Linked DNA regions of Neurospora crassa OR74A. The protein of the gene in region 2 binds, or shares a complex with, the protein of the main gene of each other region. Links are inferred from orthologs where the notes say so. Each region holds a gene or a part of one and is shown on either strand. Other genes may lie near its edges.

The links.
Region 1: NCU06485 (region 2) and NCU00419 share a complex: the UniProt entries of both Saccharomyces cerevisiae proteins name them as parts of the RNA polymerase I (Pol I) complex. The link is inferred for Neurospora crassa OR74A from reciprocal best matches to the Saccharomyces cerevisiae genes RPA49 and RPC19.

The regions. Positions count from the first base shown.
Region 1 is NC_026503.1:3,782,295-3,785,837, forward strand, and holds NCU00419 (DNA-directed RNA polymerase I and III polypeptide), read right to left. Parts: upstream 1,965-3,543; 5' UTR 1,751-1,964; coding exon 1,580-1,750; intron 1,522-1,579; coding exon 1,430-1,521; intron 1,359-1,429; coding exon 1,282-1,358; intron 1,211-1,281; coding exon 1,080-1,210; 3' UTR 957-1,079; exon of another isoform or gene 824-956; coding exon of another isoform or gene 812-823; 3' UTR 728-811; downstream 1-727. Other genes in the region: nuo14.8 (NADH:ubiquinone oxidoreductase 14.8kD subunit), read left to right, coding at 39-100, 236-382, 617-727, 812-823. UniProt on the Saccharomyces cerevisiae protein: DNA-dependent RNA polymerases catalyze the transcription of DNA into RNA using the four ribonucleoside triphosphates as substrates.
Region 2 is NC_026503.1:1,582,147-1,586,341, forward strand, and holds NCU06485 (hypothetical protein), read right to left. Parts: upstream 2,566-4,195; 5' UTR 2,493-2,565; coding exon 2,339-2,492; intron 2,266-2,338; coding exon 1,940-2,265; intron 1,887-1,939; coding exon 1,056-1,886; 3' UTR 532-1,055; downstream 1-531. UniProt on the Saccharomyces cerevisiae protein: DNA-dependent RNA polymerases catalyze the transcription of DNA into RNA using the four ribonucleoside triphosphates as substrates. Component of RNA polymerase I (Pol I) which synthesizes ribosomal RNA precursors.

The DNA.
Region 1 (3,543 bases), about 2.2 Mb from region 2:
TGTACAAGCTGAACGAGTAACTCTGACGGACATTGTAGCGGCAAACTGGAGCGACGCCAAGCGGAGGGTGTTCGCCCTTTATCGGCGATGGCTTCGTTCGGTACGTTACGAGCGAACCTACATAGAACGAGCATTTCCAGCTTTCGACGAACACGTTGGATATCGACGTATATAATGGGAGGAGTGCGAACAATCCCGACCGAGGATTCGCTAACCAGGATATCACATACAACAGACACCCGAGATGCAGTCTATGTACTCACTACCCCTCCCCATTTCGGTCATTCGCACTCGCATCAGGCAGGAATTCGAGCGCAACCGCTTCGTTAACAAGTTGCCCGTGGTGGATGTTCTGCTCACAAAGGGCCATGCCGACTATCAAGTAAGGCTCCACTTCATCGTCACTATCCACACGGACATGAATCAGGGGATCCCCAGAAACGGGCACAGCAGTGGGGTCATGTCCAAAATCTGGAGAACACCCAAAAAGAAGAGGGAAAGGGTTCCAGGCAAGGGGTCAGAAGGGAATATCAGAGCGCTGGCGCATGTTATGCGTCGCGGCGATTCGGACTGATTGTTCTGGTAACTTGACGCTGACTCTCCACGCGTCTATCAGGAAACCATGAACTTTTGGCGCCAGACGACTCACATGATGTCGTACTTCAACGAGGAGAGCTTCCGTGGAGCCAAGAGACTTCCCTCCAGCTTTATCGATGGCTTCCTGCAGGTAAGCCTATACATGCAGCTCTTTTGTCTTTGATGATGGCCACTTCATTGTGCGGGTAGCTCACAATACTCTTCTTTCATCTAGGGTCGCAACTAAGAAGAGTAATAACGAAGGGTATCAATGTCAGCCTTTCCTCTAGAGCCTATGTATATAACGCAAGCCAGATGAACATCCATGGACGCAGCCGCTTGTTCTTTTATCTTCCCCCCTTATCTTGATGGCCACTCACAGCGAGTTTTCCTTTGTCTATTTTTTGTTCCCCCTTGTGATTTACTACCAATTCAAGCCCCAAAACGCCGTTACCCATGCTGGTGAAAATTAACGATGAAAAGAAAGGTGAGAAACAAGAGGCTTAGGCAGACGCAGCGGCCTTCTTATCAGTAAAGTCCTTGCGCGCCTCAAGGAACTTATCCGAAACGACGTCGCAAAGATCTTGAATGTCACGCAGACCCTTGCGGAGTGCCTCGACAGCAGTTGTGCCCTCTGCATGTTACTGTTAGTTCACCTCTGTATTCACAGGTCTCGCTAAGAAGTGGACGAGAAAGATGACGCACCATAGGTCTGAATTCTAACGTTCATTTTGGCTTCGGAGGGATGAGGAATGGCGTAGGCGCAGAATTCGACATCAGGGCTATGAAATGGTGTTAGCACAGTCACAGCTCAGCTCATTAACATGAGACAAGTGAAGCTCCCGGTACTCACTTCTTCATGATGACGTATCTGAGCGCGTTACCAAGGGTATGGTTCTCATCAAGGAACTCGAAAGAAGCGGCCGTGGGCGTAGAACCAGGAAGCTGTGCTCAGGTGTTAGTCTCGAGTCGACATATATTCGTCATGGAGGGTTTCACGTACAAGTCTAACTTTAGTACCCTCTCCCTCCTCATACTCCTCATCTCCCTCCTCTCCTTCCTCGCCCGCATCGGCCATAGAGACATCATCCTGAGCCTCCGGCTGGTGAGAAGTCGGGGTCTCCTTCATGGTAACCTCCTCGCCCTCGTCGCCGAACTTGGTGATCTTGCCCATTTTGACTGTAATGGTTGTTGGTAACGTGAGTTACCGGTAACTGAAAGATGGTTTGGATCTTTGCGTAAAGTTGTTGTTATTCGATTGTGTAAATCCTTCCAGGAACACACGGATGGGTTGAATTCAACAGTCGGCGGCACGCGAGTGGTGAACAACAACCTGACTGAGCCTCTATTGCCTCTGTTATCGGAGAAATTTTTAGCGTGGAAAGAAAGAGTTTATCCGTCGCCAAGAATTTGGGAAATGCAGGGTTTCGCCCCCCAGCAAGAAGATGGAGGCGGCTGAAAGTTAGGCGAGCAGCTACCGACCCCACCTGCTGACGGGCATTGGCCTGCTCCCGCGTTCCATTGCTGAGGATACTCCACCAAGCTGAGATGAGCCTTTGGACTTCGCAACTCCACGCTGGGGACTTGAGGTCACTCGGGTTCAACATTCACTTCCCGGACTCAAGACTCCAAATACTTGACTTCACATTCGGTTCACTATTTAATCGGCCAGTGTTCCCGGAATTTGAATAAGCTCTTTTGGTGTTCACGTATAGCAATCATTCCGTGACCAATATCTTGGGATTGCGAAACTCTCAGGCAAGAACACCCTCGATCACGTTGACGATGAACCCCCAACTCCAGAACCCGAGGTTCCTGGACTCTGTACTACTCAAATCATCACCATTCCCTCTTCAAAATGACTCAGTGGTAGCTACATTGTACTGGAAGGGTTTTAGAGTCATCACAAACTTTACGGTCTCTATGGCATTTGATACGCTCCGCAATTCGAAATCTTGACTTGAGACAAGGATAGACTTCACACAAGGTCGTTATCCGTCTCCGGTCGTCAGAGAATGAGAACCAGATAACTCCAAGCTGGCGGAGCTATGAAATATTGTTTTGAATGTTAGGGAGTAAGGGAAAGCATTTCAACAAGGATCAAGAAAGATGGAAAAGGAAAACAAGTACAGAGAGTGACGCTCGCGGTACACTAAGAGGTGGAATCGGAGGCCATTGTCCAAAAAGTGACACCATGCACACCATTCTCGACTTGGATCTCTGGTACACGTCAAGTATATCGTCTGGTATACAGCAATCCGAGCGTTTCCACAACGTGTCGTCGGTCCGAGCAGTATCGGGCTTATGGTCTTCCCCAGGACAATGTTTCAGTTTCAGGTACTTGACCTTCTATACTGTTGTTAAAGGTTCAAATGACGTAGAAGCGTTGTCTGTATTCTTCTATTTCTTGCCTAATTACTTGTCTTTGGACCAAGTTTAGGTATGCATTAATTATTGCCCGAGATGCGGCGGTTCCGATAGTTGGTAGGCACTGTAGCTGGCCATGTGAGGTGGGAGGTACTCGCTGGGACATGAAACGCCTACTCCCATTTCCTTACATGCATTTTAACTGTTCATCTTCAGTGCGTTGATACTTTGGTAGTGTGAAGTGACGACTGCCTGGTGGGATGGCTACCTAGGTATGTCTTGAGAACAAAAACGGGGGCCTCGACAAATATGGCTTAGCTACCGTTTCAGGACTTATACTACAGTTATACTACTAGAAAGTGATTGCAGGTATGGAGGAACTGTGAACTGCTTGGAAAGCAAACGGCAAGCATACCTAGTATGACTTTTGTTGATTCCTTGGTTCCGTCTCGTTTTTGTTACAGATCGAATTTAATTCAGAAGCTGATCCTCATCCTACTATTTCATCATTTTGAATACAATGGGTGAGCAATATTGCTCTCTCTGTCGACAATATACTTGAGTTTTGTGGCTCGATGAACAGTTCGTATGTTGAGGAGC
Region 2 (4,195 bases):
GGGCCAGGGGAAACGGGGAGGACGGACAAAGTCGGGGACGCTTTGGGGAGGCACAAGGGGAAGGAACTTCATCGTGGGGTGATCGGCTTCGGCCCAGCCCTACCTACCACCGACGGCGTCTCACACCGCGGGGCGGCCAGCGGCCAGCGGCCAGCGAAAGGGGACAACGGTAGAAGGTGACGCCTGGGCGGATGCCCATCCAGGGCAGCCATATAACTACCTTTTCATCTTGTTTTCTTCTAGCCTGGCCGTCGGCTGCTCTGATATCTGCGTAGGATTTGCCGCGGACATTCTTCCTGTTACATATGTTAGCTTGACGTTCGTGGTTCTGATTTTGCACATCAACTGGCGTTAGCTGGTTCAGGTTAATGATCATCTCTGCCCCATTACTCATCTCGAAGCCCGTCATCAGTTCCCATCTTCGTTATTGGGTCCGTGCGGATATCAGTAGTAAACAAACACAAAGGGGTTGGCCAAGCGTTGAGGCACTTGAGAACCAGAACCCAGGGGGGCCAGCTTTTTGTGGGGTGACCCTTTTCCTAGATTTCAATGTCATCTCTTTGACCCCATTCAGAGCTTGATAAAGACTGAGGGACAAGCTTCCCGCCATACTTCTTATGGCCCATCAATTTCCATGACTATTCTCTACATTGTCTATACAATGATATATGCTTTCTAGCCTAGCTTTTACTGCCCGAACCACAAAATAACTGATGTATACCTCGGCAAGATGCTCAAATAGTGCGGTACAGGTCATGGCCTCCTCTCGATTAGGCGCTTGGAATTTTGATTGGCCAGCGCCTGGGTGTCGCTTGGGTGTGTCTCAACAACACACCATGGTGGTTACAGGCTGGAAGCGGCCAGACTTCCAACTGAGCTGGATGATCGCTTCTCTCGCAAAAAGCATGCCTTTTCTCAGCACTTCGTAGGGTACTTCCAAACGTAAGCGCCAAGATGTCCAATGTAGGACTGGGTGGATGATGTGCAATGCGCACAATCCAACTAAACTTGATGATATGATCCGTGGCCGTGGGTCCGGCTCAGCAAAGCGTGGTTTACCTCTTCCGTGCCGGCAGTCTGATCTTGGGAAACTGAAGAGGCAGTTGCAGGACGGCAAAGTTCTCCATCTTGTCAGCGACCTTCTGTTGCTTGACGCGAGCTCCAATCTCGATAAAGTATTGGTTGAGCTGCTTCTGCTCCAGCTTCAGATCTTCTCTCAAGTCAATCGTGTTGACCCTGAAGCCGTCGATGATGGCGGCAAATGCGCAGCAGTGCGTCATCAGAAGGTCAACGTGTGTCTTGCGCATGACTCCGCCGTCCGAGAACTTGCGGCGGATGTTTTCAATCACGATCTCGGGCGCTGGTGCCATAACCTCGCGCAGCTTATCCCTCTTACCAATGCTTCTTGTGCCACGCTCCCTTCCTTGCGAGGTGGCATTCCAGAAAATGATGACGAACAAGAGGTACCGCAGTACCCTCAATCTGTGCACCGCGTCGTCGCTGCTTGCTACGTTGGAAACGCGCTTGGCGACAAAGCGCGAAGGTACCTGGATGTCTTCTAGGTTCTTGACGCTCTCCTGCCAATCCATCACTGGTATCGCGTTCAGGACCTCGGATCCGATAATTTGGGATGGTACGTAGACGTCTGCGATTTCATCGGCATTGAAGTTGCCGCGCGGTACCGGTCGGGCGTTGTCGACAGCGGCTTGAAGGTCTTCCTTGGTCGACATGTCCTTGGTGGCGGTCTTGATGGCGTCCATCATCACCAGCTCGCTCTGGCCAACCTTTTGAGATGTAATGGCGTTCTCCGTCACGTCGCGGATCGCCTTCTTCGCCTTCTTAGTACCGAATGCCTCGCCGAGCTCGTTCCTCATGGCCATCATTTGCTGTTGCACCGTCAGTCTGGTTTTATGCCCCTGACCACTACTTCCAGGCTTACCTGTTTCTGAGTCTTCTCTTCCATTGCCTCGTCAACCGCCTTCTGCGACCTAACTGTGCCACGGAGCACCATCTTGCGCGCCTCTACAATCTCAACCTCGGCGGTTTTGGGGTTGAAGATGCCAATGTAGTGCTTCAGGTATGGGTCGGACGAGTCTCCTGTCCTATCTTCGCGAGCTGTGTAGTCCATCGTCCGGTGGTTGGCAGAGTGCAGCAGCAACTCTTGTGCGGGCGCGCCATTCTTCTTGCGCTTCGAGGTCTTGTCGGCTGGTGTGGCGTAGGCTTGAAATTGTATGGACGAAGAGAGAGCGAGTCCCGAGGTCGCGGCTAGGAGCGCATGTTAGAGTCTTCCTCCATTGGACTTGACGGCCATGGTTTCAGCCGATCAACATGTGCTTACCCACGACCGGAGGCGCATACTGCGGCCTCTTCACAGCTCCGACATTGATGAACTTGGGCGACTTGGACGATTTCTCGGAGTCGACCTTCTTCTTCTTGATTTGGGGTGTTGTATCCTCAGCGCTCTTGCGCTTCTTGTCTGATGAGCTTCCCATGGTGGTGTTTGCGGGCTACAAAGGTGCTGGGGTAGTGTAGAGTCGTGAAGTCCCGCCAAATCAAATGGATCATGCAGCTGGAGAGTCGCTGTCTGAACTTCCGAGTGGATCCCGCAGCCAGAAAAAAATTCTGCCGCCTGCCGGGGTCCGGTATCAGTTACCGCCTTTACAATCGACACACCACATTTGATGACGACGATGCAATATGTTTGATGATTTGTGTTGAAATACTACGAAGCGCGAAATCTTCATGCTATGAAATCAATTGCTATTGGTTTGCTGTTAAATTGCTTGGAGAGATGAAGAATAGCAAGCCGCACGCGTGCTAAAACAATCAACCAGACATGGAGGGGTTCAGTCCAAGTCACAAGGCAAACCAAGGCTTGGGACGCGATTTCTATGCCCTCGTGCATGCAGGCCACTGCCTTCCCCGTCGTTGAAAATGTTCACTGATGTTGCAAAAATTGGTATTCCCTTTGTGTGCAAATGCCATGTCACCTGTTCGAGGGCAGATGACCATGTTGTCGACAGAAACAATTGATCCAAGACATGCAGTCCCGTTTGTCACAGATGCAGAGAAGTGTATCATGAAGCGAAGCGGCCTTTATTGTTGCTGCGACGGGTATCCCGAATTCGCGTCTCCAAACTAGACAGTTTGCTCCCACCGGCGTTGATCCGTAAACACCTTGTTGCTACTCAACCATGAAGTTGACAGGCAACCAGCCAATACCATATCCGCCACCAAACAGTTCCGTTCTATGTGTGCCACAGTTTGATGTGCAGCATGTCCCGAGGGGTGCATGTTCCGTAGGAACCCTGAGTTCGCCTGATCACCGCAAGGTTTCAGAGCGACCGATGTGGCGTCATTCCGCGCTGAGGGGAGGAGTCGACACCGAGCCCAAGTTGTCTAATGGCTTAGAGGATAATGTCAAGAGCTGATTGGGTCGAGTGAGGCGAGGCGTTTATTTGCTGGGATCGAGTCAGCTTATATGCTCCTGAGTGGCGATTGTAGCTGCATCAACTGTCGATGCGCCGATGGTGAAACTTACGATCTCGCTCTCATCTTTCTTCTCTTGCGCTTAAGGCGTCTCACGCGCTTCTTTCTCCACTTCGCTCTCATCTTGAACTGCTTGTATGTCAGTAGGCGGGCAAGCAAATGCTGGGGGGCGGGAGCGCGTACATCTTGGATTTAAAGATGAGTTTTGCTTGTTGGTGATGGGAAAGAGTTTCAACTTGCGAATGGAGAGGGGGAACTTTTATCTCATAGGGCTCCAGGGCAAGCAGCCCTGTGGGGTAAGTCAGGTGACGCAGGCCCAAATTGCCCAGGCCTGCCGCTCTTTGTTTGGATGCGGTCCGTGCGGGGTGCGACCTTTGCCCTAGGTGGCCCAAGCTCCCGCTGACGGACGGGAGCTTCAGCTGGACTGCATCAGAAGCTCGGCTCGGAGATCGACTCCCGTCTCGTCCTCCAACGAGCGAGCCTGCCTCCCGCTCCTACTAATGGACACTGCACTTTCACTTCACTTGCAAGCTGCACCCGTCCAGGTCAAAGGAAGGCACGACCTGTCTGCATAAAAAGATTTTCACGATAGCTGGACATGGGAAGGAGGAGTCGATCCTCAAGGCACCAACTCACTCTTCCAATCTCGTCCTGTGATCTTGAACTCTGAGTGTCGTTCCCAACCTTTACCTACTTCTACTTCTCA